Macaca mulatta: one gene and its partner. The protein of the gene in region 1 interacts with the protein of each later gene in a biochemical or structural test. Links are inferred from orthologs where the notes say so. Each region holds a gene or a part of one and is shown in the gene's direction. Other genes may lie near its edges.

Region 1 (8,875 bases):
CTGGTTGAGATTAACCCGGCACCAGTATGGAGATAGGCTCCAAGGTGATTTGATAGAAAGCCTGCCTATCAGTGGATGTGACTGTTCTGGATACAATGGTTCCAGTCCGTGACACTGTTCCGAGCTTCCAGGAGGGCTGTCCTTCCTCACTTTACTTTAACCTTGTCTGAAGAACTCCCAGGAAGTTACCAACAGCCCTTCACCAAGTTCAAGAGGCAGACTTATGATTACCCTTCTCGAGCTGAAAAACTGAATAATGGAAACCTGGCAGTGAAGGGTCATTCAAGGTAAATACCTAGACTAACAACATAGTCCTGGCTCCAATGTTTCCTCACTTCCTTCTAAGGCATTGAGTATCATATATTAACAAAAGGATGACTTTCAAACACAGGGAACAGCTTCACAAATGAGGGCTGAAAGGACAGGCAAGCAAAACATGTGTCAAGGTCCTGCCACATCCTAAGTCAGTTGTTCTCAAATTATGGTGTACATCAAAATAACGTGGGGACTTGTTAAAGATATAGATTCCTAGGGGCTGCCTGAGACTTAGTGAGCCATCATTCCTGGAAAAGGGCACTAAGAGTGATTCTAATGCATATTCAAGTTTCAACACAGCTGGAGTTGAGTCTTCTGTGTGTGCTGGGGGGCAGGGGTTTAGGTTCTAAACCCTAATGAAAATAAATTACCCTTAGAAAATCTGAAAACATCCGTAAGATACACTGTAGGTGTTTCCTTGGTGGGCAGAACAGTATAGTAACATGTAAATGCAATGTGTCATGCTTACAGTAATGATAAGGAATGCATGTACAAATATGACTTTATACTATTTTAACTTAAGAAAAATTATATAGCATCCCTCTGTATCCACAGATTGGTTTCAAGACCTCTGAGGATGCCAAAATTCTGCAATGACCAAGTTCCTGACAAAAAACGGTATAGTATTTGCATATAACGTACAAAATCCTCCTGCATATCTTAAATCATCTCCAGATTACCTATGTCATATAATGTTACTACTTGTTATACTATATTCTGTATTGGATTTTTATTAGTATTTTAATTGTAATTTTTTTTTTAATTTTTTCCAAATCTTTTCCATCCAACGTTGGCTGATTCCATGAATGCAGAACCCACAAATACAGAGGGCTGATTGTACATATAAGTTGGGTGAGTTAAATGCTCATATGATACGACTCAGTGACACAAGAATACCATGAAATACATATTATCATTTCCGTTTTACAGATGAAGAGACGGATGCTGAGTCAGGTTGACAGACTTGCCCAAACTAACCATGTTGGAAGTACAGGAAGCAGAATTCAGACTTAGTTCTGTTTGCCTCAAAAACCTGCCATCGTTTCATTTTTATTTTATTTTATTTATTTTTTGAGACGGAGTTTCGCTCTTGTTGTCCAGGTTGGAGTGCAATGGTGCGATCTCAGCTCACCACAACCTCCACCTCCCGGTTGGTTTCAAGCGATTCTCCTGCCTCAGGCTCCCAAGTAGCTGGGGTTACAGGCATGTGCTACCATGCCCAGCTAACTTTTTGTATTTTTAGTAGAAATGGGGTTTCCCCACGTTGGCCAGGCTGTCTCGAACTCCTGACCTCAGGTGATTCGCTCGCCTCAGCCTCCCAAAGTGCTGGGATTACAGGCTTGAGTCATCGCACCCGGCCATTTCATTTTTACCACACTGCCACAGGCCACTTCATTTTTCAGCATTCCCCTAAAGGGTAAAGTTCAGAAATGCTCTTCAAGGTCTTGGGGCACGGCTATTTCAAATATTCAATTTATAAGACAGTATACTTCAAACAGAGTGAGATAAAAATTAGATTAGAGGCATATTCTATTATCAGAGTTAGGAACCCAAATTGGCTAACCAGGCTCTAGGCAATGATAAGGCGGTGGAGGTACTGATGTCCAATTGGAAACATTATCAGTACAGGTATTTTAAATAGCTTTCATAGTTTCCTTTCTACTGCAGTTACCATTATATCTTCATTTTATTTATTTATTTATTTTTGAGACGGAGTTTTGTTCTTGTTGCCCAGGCTGGAGTGCAATAGCACCATCTCAGCTTACCGCAACCTCCACCTTCCAGGTTCAAGCAATTCTCCTGCCTCAGCCTCCCGAGTAGCTGGGACTACAGGTGCGCACCACCAAGCCCAGCTAATTCTGTACTTTTAGTAGAGATGGGGTTTCTCCATGTTGGTCAGGCTGGTCTTGAACTCCCGACCTCAGGTGTTCCACCTGCCTCAGCCTCCCAAAGTTCTGGGATTACAGGCGTGAGCCACCGTGCCTGGCCTATATCTTCATTTTAATAAAAAAGAAATTCAGGCCAGGCGCGGTGGCTCACACCTGTAATCCTAGCACTTTGGGAGGCCGAGGTGAGCGGATCACCTGAAGTCAGGAGTTCAAAACCAGCCTGGCCAACATGGTAAAACTCCATCTCTACTAAAAATACAAAAAATTAGCTGGGCGTGGTGGCGGGTGTCTGTAATCCCAGCTATTGGAGAGGCTGAGGCAGGAGAATTGCTTGAACCTGGGAGACAGAGGTTGCAGTGAGCCGAGATTGCGCCATTGCACTCCAGCCTGGGCAACAAGAGTGAAACTCCGTCTAAAAAAAAAAGGAAAGGAAAGGAAAGAAATTCAGTCTTTCAGAGGGAATACACTTACCTGAATAGAGGTCAAAGTCTCAGAAGAGGCCTCCCTCCTCTCTCTGACCTCTGAAATGCCCTGGACCTGCAAGTGGGAGATTACAGGCCCTGACAAGGGTTGCCCAAACAGCAGTGTGGCACTAGGAAGGCAGGTTAAGCATCAATTACTATGATGCTAGCACAACTTAAGCACTCTGCATGCACAATCTCATTTAATCCTTACAAGTGTATGTAGGAGGGGCTACTAGTATGTTCATTCAACAAACTGGGATACAGAGTTTGGAACTTCACCCAAAGTCACTAGTTTCTCTACCAGGATAGATTTAAGTGCTTACTGTCAGGTACTGTTCCAGGCATCTTATATGTACTAACTCATTATCCCCATTACAACCCTCTGATACAGGTGCCATAATTATGCCACTTTACAGACGAGAAAACTAAAAGCAGAAAGGGAGCAGTAAACCCAGGAGATGAATTCTGGAGAAGCTCTCTGGTTTCAACCCTTAGCCAACATCACAATCACCTGAAGGGCTTGTAATACACTGATTGCTGGGCCCAGTCCTAGAGTTTCTGAATCCTAAGGCTGAGCAACACCTAATTTCCACTTCTGCAAGTTCCCAGTGAATGCTGTTGCTGCTCGTCTGGAAGCCAGACGTTGAGAACCCCTTCTAGAGTGAGGTCTCCCGCAACAAATTCTACCGGCCCCCAAAGCACGTGTTTTGTGTGTCTTAAAAATTTGTTGAGTACCATTAGCAAAAAACAAACAAAAAAACTTAATTCCTAGAATTGCAGAGAAATCCCATGGAGTTTTTTGCTAGTCACGTCAAAAGAGGCCACAAAGTGCCGCTTAACCAGAGCTTCGGAAGACAGCGGCTGGGCCGGCCACGTGCACCGAGACTTGGGGCCAGGTGCAGCCGCCCCAGGGCCGGGGTATCGGAAAGGGCCCCCGGTCCCAGCCCCAAGCGGCCCAGCAATTCCCCCGGGCCGTCCGCCCCTCCAGATTTATTTACGTTTTCCTGACTTCCCCCTGCCCGCCGTGGGACAAACAGCCTCCCCACTTGCATCTGCGCTGGGAGTAGCGCGTACTTCCGCCAAATTCGCCTCCGAGCCCGAGTCCCGGCCGCCGCCATCTTGCGGGGGGCGCACCTCACAGGTCGGGAGCTGGGCGGGAAGGGGCGTGGCCCCGGGACCCGCCCCGCCAGGGCTCTTGGGAGCGCGGGCAGCCAGCGCACTCGGCGGACGCCAGGGCGGCGGGGAGCACACGGAGCACTGCAGGCGTCGGGTGAGGCGTACGGCGGCGGGGGTCGGGGCGGGGGTTCCTGACGGAGGGACCGGGTGGGCGGCGGGAGCTCGGATGCAGGTACGGCGGGCAGCCTGGGGGGCGCGGCGCGGGTCTCTGCCCGGCACTCGAGGGGCAGTGGAGCTGAGCCGGCCAGCGGCCCCGCGACCTTCCCCTCGGCACCAGGTCCCCTCTCCCGAAGGAAACGCGGAGCCTGGGTGCCTGGGCGCCGTCCCTTGGCGGCTCCCGGGCGGTTGCAGTTTTTGAAAGAGTTTCTCAAAGGCGTGACGGTTGCGATTGCAGCCGCGGGGCAACCGTTGCTACACAAAGTGAAACTTGCCGAGTGCTCGGCTCCTCACGGGCTTCCTGGCAGCCCTGGGAAGTTCCTCGGCTGACCCCGAGCCCGCGCCCTCTCTCCACGGACCCCTCCCCGCCGAGTGCCCCCCGGCCATGCGCCCCCTCTCCCCTGACCCCTCCCTGCCGAGTGCCCCGAGGGCTCGCGCCGGCGCTCCCGGGACTCCTTTCTCCTAGGTGATTCCCCCTGCCCCTCGCCCTCTCTCCCCCAGGCCCGCGCTCCGTCTTCCCGGGCCTTTCCCCGCCGGGTACCCCGGGCCCCGCGCCCTCTCTTCTCCACTTCTCTCAGCCAGGTGCACCTGGAGTGCCCCCCAGACCCCTTCCCGCCCGGTCGGCGCTCTTTCCCCCATCCCTCCCCGCCGAGTGTTCCCCGGGGCCCGTGCCCTCTCCCCCCGACCCTCTCCGCCGAGCGTTCCCCCTGCCCTATATCTCCCGGACCCGCGTCCCCCACCAGCCCCTTAATGCTGGGGGTCCCCGGGTGCGCACCCCCTCTCTCCGGACCCCCCCAACTGGGGGCACCTCGAGTGCCCGCCGGCTGCCCCTTGGGCGCGCGCCCCCGCGCTCAGGCCCCTCCTCGCCGGGGGCCCCGCCCGGCCGCGCCCCCTCCCCGTGCCCGCAGTGCTGGGCTGGGCGCTGACTCACCCCGGCCCGGGCTGGCCGGTTCTTAAGCGGCGGCGCGCGGCGGGCGCGGAGTGTCGGGCGCGGCAGGAGGACGAGGCAGGGCCGACCGGCGCTCTAAGGGCTCTGCTTTGACTCCAGGTTGGGACAGCGTCTCCGCTGCTGCTGGAGAGTCGTGTTTCCGGGGATCGAGGATACTCAACAGGAACCGAAAATGCCGAAACCAGTAAGTTGCCCAGTTTCTGGGACGGGCGGACGGGGGAGGCTTCATTGGCGAGGGGAGGCACCTGCACGAGGTGTTGGGACAGTTCCTGGTGGAAGAAGGCTTTTCTCACACGCAGAAGAGGATAGGAATAGGGGGTTGTCGCCGCTCTTTGTTACTTGTTGGCCCTTTTGTGGAGCGTTAGGAAAACACCATTTTGATGCTTTTCTCTGCAGTCTTTTTCTTTGTGAGCCCCCTCCCCAGTAGTTACGATCTTCTCTAAAAACTAGAGGCCCTTTTACACTGCTTCCGTCTGTTTTTAAAGGGTATGGTAATGCAACTTCGAATTTTCTTAAAAAGTCCAAATCACAGGGAGACTCAAATGGCCTCCGACCACACACACCAGCTCTCAGAGTTCCTAAGGGTCCGAAACCACAGGCGCCCAAGATCCAACTGGGGAGATTTAAAGGGCGTTTGGGAGAGGAGACTGGCTTTCGGAAGTTGCCGTTCAGCTTCGCTTCCTACGAGGCCCATGAAGCGGTGCCCTGTTCACCAGGAAACTTACTGGCTGCAGCAGAATTTCTGTCTCTTAACAGAAGGTTAGCCATGGACTTGAATTGTAGATGCAGGCAGTCGGCGGAGTTTGATGAGCGGCTCTTGGCACGCTGGGCCGAGCACTCCTGGTCAACTGATGAAAGGGCTGTGCCTGCGCCTCTGTCTCCTTGAATCTGATTGTGTTGAGATTGCTGGCTAGGCCTGGGGGTTGTAGGCAAAAGGCAGGTTCTCTGGGACTGACACTTCTTAGAAAGTTGTATGTATTCTACCTGCTTTTAACGCTGGGGAACTAGTGACTATTCGGGAGAAGGTTTAACATTTTTTGAGTTTTGAATCACAATGGACAAAATAACAGGGTTCATTACAAACTGGGATTACAGATACATCCGGATTTTTTTTCTGGTTTTTCAAACAAGTTGGTTCTGTAATCAATGATTGTGTGCCCTTTTTTTTTTTTTTTTTTTTTTGGGGGAGGTAGGTGGTGGGGAGCAGAGTCTCCCTCTGTCGCCCGGGCTGGAGTGCAGTGGCCTGATCTCAGCTCACTGCAACCTCTGCCTGTTGGGTTCAGGCGAATCTCCTGCCTCAGCCTCCCGAGTAGCTGGGATTACAGGCATGTGCCACCATGCCCAGCTAAATTGTGTATTTTTGTAGAGAGGGTGTTTCACCATGTTGGCCAGGTTGGTCTCAAACTCCCGACCTCAGGTGATCCGCCCACCTCGACCTCCCAAAATGCTAGGATTACAGGCGTGAGCCACCACACCCGGCCTTGGTGCTTTTTCTACTGTTAAATTTTATGTTCTCTAAGAAGATGTTTGTTAGAGGTATTAATTTTGCTGTTAGGTTAGAGAATATTAATATGCCAATAGATTCAGAAGCCAATATCATTTTTGCCTAAGTTACATTAAGATTTATTTGCGGTGCAGAGTATTTTCTATACAAAATTTTTCTTTTTAATTCAAACTTAAAAGTGACACGTGACATCCAGGCTTGACAGTGCATGTGGTATGAAACTGACCTAAGTACAACCCCTTACTTAGGCAGAGCTGAGTGCAAGGGTATGCAGAGGAGTGGTCAAGATTACCCTTCTGGGTGTGGTTTTCTTTATTTCACTAAAAGAAGAGATGCAGAGCTCAGCTAAGATAGCACTCAGGAAAAAGTTAACCTGTTCTTAGTCACTACTTTTCTTTCTCATAATGAATGGTAATTTATTTTTCTGGTTTCTTTTTTGTATCTTGGTAAAATATACAATTTATCCTCTTACTTTTAGGTTTACATTTCAAAGGTATTAAGTACATTTACATTGTTACATCGCCATCACCAAGGTCTATCTCCAGAACTTTTATCTTCCCAGATTGAAACTCTACCCATTAAACTCTCCCTCCCCATCCCCACCACCAGCCCTTGGCAACCACCATTCTACTTTCTGTCTCTGTGAATTCCACAACTCTAGATACCTCATATAGGTGGAATTGTGATAGCATTTGTCCTTTTATGGTAGTCTCATTTCCCGTAGCATAATGTCTTCAAGGTTATCCATGTTGCATTGTCAGAACTCCGTTCTCTCTTTTATTTCTTGTGGCAGGTATATTTTCATTTTGTTTTGTTTTAAAGGTGTTTTATGATAGATCAGAACTTAAAAGATGTTTCTGACATTTGACAAAGTGAAGATAGTTGTGAAACAGTTAAGGAAAGACAGTAGCCATCACCTTGTGTATTAGAGCTAGAGTTACTCTTTGAAAGACTGTATTTTGTATAATATCTACAATTAGAATTTTCAAACCTTTTTTGAGGCCAGGCAAGGTGGCCTGATGACAGGCATGAGCCTGTAATCCCAGCACTTTGGGAGGCTGAGGCAGGCAGATCACATGAGCCCAGCAGTTCAAGACTCGCCTGGCCAACATAGACTCTGTTTCTACAAAAAAATAGAAAAATTAGTTGGGTGTGGTGGCCTGCGCTCTGACTGAGCTATTGGGGGTGGAGGCTGAAGTGGGAGGATTGCTTGAGCCCCGGAGGTCAAGGCTGCAGTGAACTGAGATCAAGCCACTCCATTCCAGCCTGGGCAGCAGAGTGAGATGTTGTCTGAAAACAAACACAAACCTTTTTTGAGAGGCTTCCATTTAGTTCAGCCATACCTGTCTGCCATGGGAAATTTCTCCCTTCCCCTTCTTTGGCAGAGGAGGGTCTTAGAAATAAATTAAACACAGTAAGCCTTTCTGTGTGTAAATTATATTAGAGCCATCCCACAAATCACTGATAAGAGCATAGTAGGTTGCACATACTTGAATATGACACTTCGTAAGGCTGCTAGAGAGGATCCAGTTAGTTTTGGTTTGGTTTGGGGTTTTTTTGCTGCCTGAGTAAATGTTAAAATGAAACATCCACCAACAGCTCTATGGATGTGTCTTTTAAACAAAGGTTTATTGATTCTAATTATTCAAGCTCAAGTTAAGAATGTTAGCAAAGAATGTTAGGTGGTTTTGTTGGGCTTAATGTTTAACAACTGGATTAAGGGGCAACCACACTTAAAGGATGGATACCTCTGAGTACTTGGCCTTCCACCTGATTCACTGCAACTGTTAACCCTTGAATTCAACAGGCAAAGTATTTTTGATTGATTTGTCTGAACTGAGTGGATGACTTTATGCATAAAACAGTATAACTGAAAATATTTATTTGCTGTGTTTTCTCCTAATACTATTTCCCAAAAGCAACACTTACTTAAAAGACTGAGGCCGTGCACAGTGGCTCATGCCTGTAATCCCAGCTCTTTGGGAGGCCGAGGTGGGCGGATCACAAGGTCAAGAGATTAAGACTATCCTGGTCAACATGGTGAAACTAAATGTCTCTACTAAAACTACAAAAATTAGCCAGGCATGGTGGCGGGCACCTGTAGTCCCAGCTACTTTGGAGGCCGAGGCAAGAGAATCACTTGAACCCGGGAGGTGAAGATTGCAGTCAGCCGAGATTGTGCCATTGCACTCCAGCCTGGTGACGAAGCGAGACTCCATCTCAAAAAAAAGAAAAAAAAAAAGACTTGAGTGTTTGTTCATCAGCAAGCAGGGTGACCTGCACAGAGGGCGAGACAGACCTTGTCCTCTGGAAGCTTAGTGTCTGGTACCTGGGCCAAGATGCAGGTAAACGCTGAAATTGAAAACCTGCTGAGTGCTGTCAGACTGGGAAGGAGCCTAGGTAACGCGTGACACAGTCGAGA
Region 2 (9,007 bases), on another chromosome or scaffold:
ACTCAGTTCCTGGTGCATGAAGAGATTCCATACAGCCCCCTCACTTTCAGTTCTTAGAAAGAAGAATATGCCAGCCTGACCAACATGGTGAAACCCCCGTCTCTAATAAAAGTACAAAAATTAGCCAGGTGTGGTGGCGTGCACCTGTAATGCCAGCTACTCAGGAGGCTGAGGCAGGAGAATCACTTGAACCCGGGAGGTGGAGGTTGCAGTGAGCCCAGCCTGGGCGACAGAGCGAGACTCATTCCCACCCCTCAAAAAAAAAAACAAGAAGAAGAATACGAAAGAGACAGGATCAATAACTACCTTCATTGTTTAATAGCCTGAGTGAAAACCAAACACAGTGGCTCACTCCTGTAATCCCAGCACTTTGGGAGGTTGAGGTGGGAGGATCGCTTGAGTCCAGGGGTTCGAGATCAGCTTGGGCAATATGTCAAACACTCATCTCTAGAAAAAATACAAAAATGGCCGGGCGCGGTGGCTCAAGCCTGTAATCCCAGCACTTTGGGAGGCCGAGACGGGCGGATCACGAGGTCAGGAGATCGAGACCATCCTGGCTAACACGGTGAAACCCCATCTCTACTAAAAAATACAAAAAACTAGCCGGGTGAGGTGGCGGGCGCCTGTAGTCCCAGCTACTTGGGAGGCTGAGGCAGGAGAATGGCGTAAACCCGGGAGGCGGAGCTTGCAGTGAGCTGAGATCCGGCCACTGCACTCCAGCCTGGGTGACAGAGCGAGACTCTGTCTCAAAAAAAAAAAAAAAAAACGAAAAAATACAAAAATGAGCCGAGTGTAGTGGCACCTACCTATAGTCCCAGTTTCTAGGGAGGCTGAAGTGGGAGGATCACCTGAGCCTGTGAGGTCAAGGTTGCAGTGAGCCATGATTAAGCCACTGCGTTCCAGCCTGGGCAGCACAGCCAGACCCTGTCTCAGGAAAAAAAAAAAAAAAAAAAAAAAAAAAAAGCCAAATCTTTTCATCCCAGGATGTCTGAAAATGACAGAGTCTATGGAGTATGGATGCAGAAAAGTAGTTATTCCTACCAGAAAAAAAAAAAAAAAAAGAAATGTGGACACAGCCACTCAAGATCAGAGACTCAACCAGTGAAAGCAATTAGCTTCAATTTCATTGTCACCAGGAGGGCACACACCAGAGAACCTGGGAGAAAGCCTGGGTTACAGCCCTTAGCATTCTCAGTGTTACTGGTGCTGTGGTTCAACAACCTTTGTGGGAATGAGGAGAACCAGAGACCATCACCATCACTCCTAAAAAGGATACTATAGCAACAATGTGGCTGTCAAAAATCAGCTGGAGGCCAGTTGTGGTAGCTCAGGCCTGTAATCCTAGCACTTTGGGAGGCCAAGGCAGGCGGATCACCTGAGGTCAGGAGTTCGAGACTAGCCTGGTCAACACGGTGAAACCCTGTCTCGGCCGGGCGCGGTGGCTCAAGCCTGTAATCCCAGCACTTTGGGAGGCCGAGGCGGGCGGATCACGAGGTCAGGAGATCGAGACCATCCTGGCTAACATGGCCGAGGTCAGGAGATTGAGACCATCCTGGCTAACATGGTGAAACCCCGTCTCTACTAAAAAATACAAAAAACTAGCCGGGCGCGGTGGTGGGCGCCTGTAGTCCCAGCTACTCGGGAGGCTGAGGCAGGAGAATGGCGTGAACCCGGGAGGCGGAGCTTGCAGTGAGCAGAGATCCGGCCACTGCACTCCAGCCTGGGCGGCAGAGCGAGACTCCATCTCAAAAAAAAAAAAAAAAAAAAAAAAAAAGAAACCCTGTCTCTACTAAAAATACAAAAAATTAGCTGGGTGTGGTGGTGCGTGCCTATAATCCCAGCTACTCAGGAAGCTGAGGTGGGATAATCACTTGAACCTGGGAGGCAGAGGTTGCAGTGAGCCCCAGACTGTGCCACTGCACTCCAGCCTGGGTGACAGAGTCAGACCCTGTCTCAAAAAAAAAAAAAACAAAAAAAAAAACAGCTGGAGTTTAATTTATACACTGTTTGCAATCCAGACTGTATTTGCTTTCTTGTCAACGGCTTGAGATATGTGCAGGAGCTCCTTAAACATGTGTAGGTGACCTTTCTCTGCCGCCCAGACTGGAGTGCAGGGGCACAATCTCAGCTAACTGCAACCTCCACTTCCCCGACTCAAGCAATCCTCCTGCTGCAGCCTCCTGAGTAGCTGGGACTACAGGTGTGTGCCATCAAGCTTGGCTGATTTTTTGTATTTTTAGTAGAGACAGGGTTTTGGCATGCTGCCCAGGCTGGTCTGGAACTCCCGACCTCAAGGGATCCACCCATCTTGACCTCCCAAAGTGCTAGGATTACAGGTGTGAGACACCACTCCTGGCCCAGAAATACTTCATCATCAGAAATATTACTGGAGGGTGTAGAAGGGTACACTGATAATCCCAGCACTTTGGGAGGTCAAGGCAGGCAGATCCCCTAAGCTTAGGAGTTCAAGACCAACCTGGGCAATATGATGAAAGCCGTCTCTACAAAAAATTAGCCAGGCATGGTGGTGTGCACCTGTGGTCCCAGATCCTAGGGAGGCTGAGGTGGGAGGATCGCTTGAACTCAGGAGGCTGAGATTACAGTTAGCTGAGATTGCGCCCCTGCACTCCAGCCTGGGTGACACAGTGAGACTCTGTTTCAAAAAACAAAAAAGAAATATTACTTATTTACAAATATTTCTTTCTTTTTTATTTTTAGAAACGGGGTCTCACTATTACATAATTATTATAAATCATATCTATAATATATAATATATATTTTATATATATATATATATATATATATATATATATATATATGTATGTATGTATTTTTGAGACGGAGTCTTGCTCTGTCACCCAGGCTGTAGTGCAGCGGCACAATCTCCGCTCACTACAACCTCTGCCTCCCGGGTTCAAGTGATTCTTCTGCTTCAGCCTCCCGAGTTGCTGGGACTACAGGCGCCCGCCACAACGTCCAGCTAATTTTTTATATTTTTGGTGGAAACGGGGTTTCACTGTGTTAGCCAGGACGGTCTCGATTTCCTGACCTCTTGATCTGCCCACCTCAGCCTCCCAAAGTTCTGCTGGGATTACAGACTTGAGCCACTAAGTCTGGCATCTTTTTTATTTTATTTTATTATTATTTTTTTTGGAAACAGGGTCTCACTGTGTCGCCTAGGCTGGAGTGCAGGGGCACAATCTCAGCTCACTGCAGCTTTGATCTCCCAGGCTCAAGCGATCCTCTCCTCAGCCTTCCAAGGAGCTGGGACTACAGGCACCAGGTCCATGCTACTGGGCCCTGCTATTTACAAATACACTAGACTTGGGTTTTAGCTGCTCTCTCAACACTAGGTGGGAAATGAATTGTTCGGAAGGCAGAGGAATAGAGGAGGGACCTGATTAGGAAGGTGGGGGTGCTCCAGATGAGAGAGGAGGTGCTGTGACCTCAAGCTCTGGGAAAAGTGGGTGAACGCAGGGCTCCATCAAGGCCCTCAACAAGGTCCCTCTCTGGTGCTCAGATGTTAGGCCCAGAAGACAGGTCAGAGGCCTGAGGTCAGCAGCAGGTCAAAGGTGGGAGTCCCCCCTGGTCCCCTTGGTGCCTTCCCTTGGAATGAAGTGACCAGCTGCCTGGAAAGGTGGGCAAGGGGGCAACAGGATGAGGTAAAGGCCAGTTACAAGTAGAATCCTGGAAGGTTGGGCGAGGTGGCTTATGCCTGTAATCCCAGCACTTTGGGAGGCCAAGGCAGGCGACTCACTTGAGGTCAGAAGTTTGAGACCAGCTTGGCCAACATGGTGAAACCCCATCTCTTACCAAAAAGTACAAAAATTAGCCGGGCATGATGGCACATGCCTGTAATCCCAGCTACTCGGGAGGCTGAGGCAGGAGAATTGTTTGAACCAGGGAGGCAGAGGCTGCAGTGAGCCGAGATCCCACTACTGCACTCCAGCCTGGGCAACAGAGTGAGACCCTGTCTCAAAACAAAACAAAAGCCAAATCGAATCCTGGAAAGACAGTGGCTCAGGGACTCAGCTGTCCCCAAATCACCTACCTTAGCTCTTCGTGCATGGGAGGGGGGATCCCCAAAATCTTCAAAGATAGGGAGATGTCCTCAAGATCTTCAAAGGTGGCCAGGCGTTGTGGCTCACGCCTGTAACCGCAACACTTTGGGAGGTCAGGATGGGAGGAGGCCATCTCAAGGCCAGGAGCTCAAGACCAGTCGGGGCAACATAGCAAGACTCTGCTTCTGGTTTTTTTGTTTGTTTGTTTGTTTGTTTTATGTTTCCTTGAAATCCCACCTTAGCATCTAAACAGTGGTGCCTACAGGTTTCCCCCATTAACTTCCTCTCTGGGAACAGAATATTCCCCTCCCCACCTAAGTTCAGCCGGAAGGAGATGCCTCATACCCCCACACCCAGGCTTCCCAGTGCTGAGAACAAAGGAAGCCAGTTCAGTTAGCATTTCCTGGCTAGGAACTGGGGGCCAGCAGTGCAACTGAGACCAGCCCTGTCCCTGGGGGAGACTCAGCAGTGCTGGCCACTTTGCAGAGCCCCGTCTGGGTCCCCCATTCTAGCCCCCCAGGGCCACAGCATCCCCTTCTCCCCACAGGCCTGGGTAAGGTGCAGTCCCCAGACTTCTGCAATCTTAACCGCTATGCTTCCGTCTCAGTGGGAGGCCCCGCCTTTCCCCCTGCCTGCCCTTGGGGCACCTCAGGAAGGCACCTTCTTCTGTCAGAATGGCCACCATAGTACCATCCGTATCGTGGCCCGGGGCCTGCTGGACTCTGCTGGTCTGCTGTCTGCTGACCCCAGGTGAGGCTGGTCAAGCCCAGGAGGGCTGGAGAGGGCTGGGTTTTGGGGCTCAGTAGAAGGTGGAGGAAGAGAATGCAACACTCTTTGCATCCTGCCACACTGCGACCTGGCTGCTGACCCCGTATCCTCGGGAGAAAGTTCTGGTTCCTTAGTTCTGCCTTCAGGTGGTCAGGCCCCAGCATACGGCTTCTACGCCATCCCTCTTCCCCAACACACACACACACACACACACACACCCCTCACGCTTCCTGCTCCATCTGAACTCCTGAAATTTTTTTTTTTTTTTTTTTTTTTTTTTTTTTTTTTGAGACGGAGTCTCGCTCTGTCGCCCAGGCTGGAGTGCAGTGGCCGGATCTCAGCTCACTGCAAGCTCCGCCTCCCGGGTTCACGCCATTCTCCTGCCTCAGCCTCCCGAGTAGCTGGGACTACAGGCGCCCGCCACCTCGCCCGGCTAGTTTTTTTTTGTATTTTAGTAGAGACGGGGTTTCACTGTGTTAGCCAGGATGGTCTCGATCTCCTGACCTCATGATCCGCCCGTCTCGGCCTCCCAAAGTGCTGGGATTACAGGCTTGAGCCACCGCGCCCGGCCTGAACTCCTGAAATTTGCCCTTTGCGTATGTGGTTCCCTCTGCCAGGATCACCTGTCCCTTTCACTTGCTAACTCTTACTTAGCTTTCAGTTTCAGGCTGGCATGGTCTCCTCCTCCAGGAAGCCTTCCCTGACTCACCTCCTCCTATGCTGGATCAGAGCCTCTTCTGGCCTCCTTCTGAGTTCTCCCTGGTCCCTGATGGATTCTGCCTTTCCCACTGGACCATGAGGGTGGGAACCCTTCTATCTCGGCACAAGGAAAGAGGTGTTAAATGGTGGGGCCTGCTGATACGCGGGTTGGGGGGCAACAAAACAAACACCAGGATTTCTTCATGTTCCTGAAGGTGCCCAGGGGCAGGAGTTCCTGCTGCGGGTGGAGCCCCAGAACCCTGTGTTTCCTGCTGGAGGGTCCCTGTTGGTGAACTGCAGTACTGATTGCCCCAGCTCTAAGAAAATCATCTTGGAGACGTCCCTATCAAAGGAGCTGGTGGACAATGGCACAGGCTGGGCAGCCTTCCAGCTCAGCAACGTGACTGGCAACAGTCGGATCCTCTGTTCAGGGTACTGCAATGGCTCCCAGATAACAGGCTTCTCTGACATCACCGTGTACAGTGAGTCGATGTGTCCGGAGGTGGGACTGGTGTTGGGTAGTGGTGTGGGCAGATGGCCGATGGCTCAGGAGAATGGAGACCCTCAGTTTGCAAAGAATGGACCAGGATTCTGACCCAGAGCTCAGACCTGGACATTTGTGTGTGTGAGATACAAAGACATAGAGACACATCTCAATCTCATGCCAAGGCAGCAGTTGTGAAATCAATTAACTTGGGCCCCAACCAACATTTTTTTTTTTTTTTTTTTTTTGAGACAGAGTTTCGCTCTTTTTGCCCAGGCTGGAGTGCAGTGGCGCAATCTCGGCTCACTGCAACCTTCGCCTCCTGGGTTCAAGTGATTCTCCTGCCTCGGCCTCCCGAGTGGCTGGGATTACACATGCACGCCACCACACCCGGGTAATTTTGTATTTTTAGTAGAGATGGCATTTCTTTTTCTTTTTTTTTTGAGACGGAGTCTGGCTCTGTCCAGCCCAGGCTGGAGTGCAGTGGCCGGATCTCAGCTCACTGCAAGCTCCGCCTCCCGGGCTTATGCCATTCTCCTGCCTCAGCCTCCCGAGTAGCTGGGACTACAGGCGCCCGCCACCTCGCCCGGCTAGTTTTTTTGTATTTTTTTTAGTAGAGACGGGGTTTCAACGTGTTAGCCAGGATGGTCTCGATCTCCTGACCTCGTGATCCGCCCATCTTGGCCTCCCAAAGTGCGGGGATTACAGGCTTGAGCCACTGCGCCCGCCTGAGATGGCATTTCATCATGTTGGCCAGTCTGGTCTTGAACTCCTCACCTCAGGTAATCCGCCTGCTTTGGTCTCCCGAAGTGCTGGGATTACAGGCATGAGCCACTGCACCCTGCCCCAACAAGTTTTTTTTTTTTTTTTTGAGATGAAGTCTGTTGCTCTGTAGCCCAGACTGGAGTGCAGCGGTGCCATCTTGGCTCACCACGACCTCTGCCTCCCAGGTCCCAGTTCAAGCATTCTCCTGCCTCAGCCTCCCAAGTAGCTGGGATTATAGGCATGCGCCAGCATGCCCAGCTAATTTTTGTATTTTTTGTAGAGATGGGGTTTCACCATGTTAGCCAGGCTGGTCTTTAACTCCTGACCTTGTGATCTGTCCACCTTGGCCTCTCGAAATGCTGGGATTACAGGTGTGAGCCACCTTGCCTGACCCCAACAATAATTTCAACACTTTGGGAGGCCAAGGCAGGAAGATTGCTTGAGCCCAGAAATTTAAGACCAGGCTGAGCAACATAGGGACACCTTGTCTCTACAAAAATAAATAAAAAATATTAGCTGGGGCCGGGCGTGGTGGCTCACACCTGTAATCCCAGCACTTTGGGAGGCCGAGGTGGGCGGACCACGAGGTCAGAAGATCGAGACCATCCTGGCAAACACCGTGAAACCCCATCTCTATTGAAAATACAAAAAAAGTAGCCGGGTGTGGTGGTGGGCACCTGTAGTCCCAGCTTCTAGGGAGGCTGAGGCAGGAAAATGGCATTAACCCGGGAGGCGATGGAGCTTGCAGTGAGTGGAGATTGCGCCACTGCACTCCAGCCTGGGCGACAGAGTGAGACTCCGTCTCAAAAAAAAAAAAAAAAAAAATTAGCTGGGCATGGTGGTACATGCCCGAAGTCTCAGCTACTTGGGGGGCCGAGGTGGGAGAGTTGCTTGAGCCCAGGAGTTCAAGGCTATAGTGAGCTATAATTGCACCACTGCACTCCAGCCTGCGCGAAAAAGTAAGACCCTGTCTCTTAAGCAAAAAAAAGGGGGTACCCCTTTCAGTCAGCAGTAGGTGAATAGAGGTTTTATATTTACACTTTTTTATACTTTTATTTTAGAGACAGGCTCTCCCTATATTGCCCAGGTTGGTCTCAAACTCCTGGGCTCATGCAATCCTCTTCAGCTCTCCAGTAGCTGGGATTGCAGGCCTGAGCCACTGTACCTGGCTACTTTTTTTTTTTCTTTTTCTTTTTTTTTTTTTGAGACGGAGTCTTGCTCTGTCCCCTAGGCTGGAGTGCAGTGGTGCAATCGTGGCTCACTGCAACCTCTGCCTCCCGGGTTCAAGCGATTCTCCTGCCTCAGCCTCCTGAGTAGCTGCGATTATAGGCACATGCCAACATGCCCGGCTCATTTTTGTATTTTTAGTAGAGACAAGGTTTCAACATGTTGGTCAAGCTGGTCTCGAACTTCTGACCTCATGATCCACCTGCCTCGACCTCCCAAAGTGCTGGGATTACAGGCGTGAGCCACCATGCCTGGCCTTTTCTTCTTCTTCTTTTTTTTTTTTTTTTGGAGATGGAGTCTCACTCTGTTGCCCAGGCTGGAGTGCAGTGGCACGATCTCAGCTCACTGCAACCTCCACCTCCCAAGTTCAAGAGATTTTCCTGCCTCAGCCTGCTGAGTAGCTGGGACTACGGGTGTGCACCACCACGCCCAGCTAATTTTTTTATTTTTAGTAGAGACGGGATTTCACCATGTTGCCCAGGCTGGTCTCAAACTCCTGGCCTCAAGTGCCTTGGCCTCCCAAAGTGCTGGGATTACAAGCGTGAGCCACCATGCCTGGCCTACTTTTTGATTTTATTTTTTTTATCCTTTGAGACGGAGTCTTGCTCTTGTCCCCCAGGCTGGAGTGCAATGGCGCGATGTCAGCTCACTGCAAACTCTGCCTCCTGGGTTCAAGTGATTCTCCTGTCTTAGCCTCCTTAGTAATTGGGATCACAGGCATGTGCCACCACGCCTGGCTAATTTTTGTATTGATTTTTAGTAGAGACAGGGTTTTGCCAAGTTGGCCAGGTTGGTCTCAAACTCCTGACCTCAAGTGATCCGCCTCCCTCGGCCTCCCAAAGTGGTGGGATTACAGGCGTGAGTCACCTAGCTCTTTTTTTTTTTTTTTTTTTTTTTTGACATAGAGTCCCACTCTGTCACCAGGCTGGAGTGCAGTGGCACTATCTCAGCTCACTGCAACCTTTGCCTCCTGGGTTCCAGTGATTCTCGTGCCTCAGCCTCC

Evidence for each region.
Region 2: the proteins of EZR (region 1) and ICAM3 form a complex in vitro, tested with the Homo sapiens proteins (2 studies listed by BioGRID). The link is inferred for Macaca mulatta from reciprocal best matches to the Homo sapiens genes EZR and ICAM3.

What each region holds. Positions count from the first base shown.
Region 1 is NC_133409.1:77,679,695-77,688,569, reverse strand, and holds the start of EZR (ezrin), read left to right. Parts: upstream 1-3,884; 5' UTR 3,885-3,938; intron 3,939-5,048; 5' UTR 5,049-5,121; coding exon 5,122-5,133; intron 5,134-8,875. UniProt on the Homo sapiens protein: Probably involved in connections of major cytoskeletal structures to the plasma membrane. In epithelial cells, required for the formation of microvilli and membrane ruffles on the apical pole. Along with PLEKHG6, required for normal macropinocytosis.
Region 2 is NC_133424.1:11,060,911-11,069,917, reverse strand, and holds the start of ICAM3 (intercellular adhesion molecule 3), read left to right. Parts: upstream 1-4,674; 5' UTR 4,675-4,735; coding exon 4,736-4,811; exon of another isoform or gene 4,812-5,068; intron 5,069-5,399; exon of another isoform or gene 5,400-5,743; coding exon 5,744-6,010; exon of another isoform or gene 6,011-6,210; intron 6,211-9,007. UniProt on the Homo sapiens protein: ICAM proteins are ligands for the leukocyte adhesion protein LFA-1 (integrin alpha-L/beta-2). ICAM3 is also a ligand for integrin alpha-D/beta-2. In association with integrin alpha-L/beta-2, contributes to apoptotic neutrophil phagocytosis by macrophages.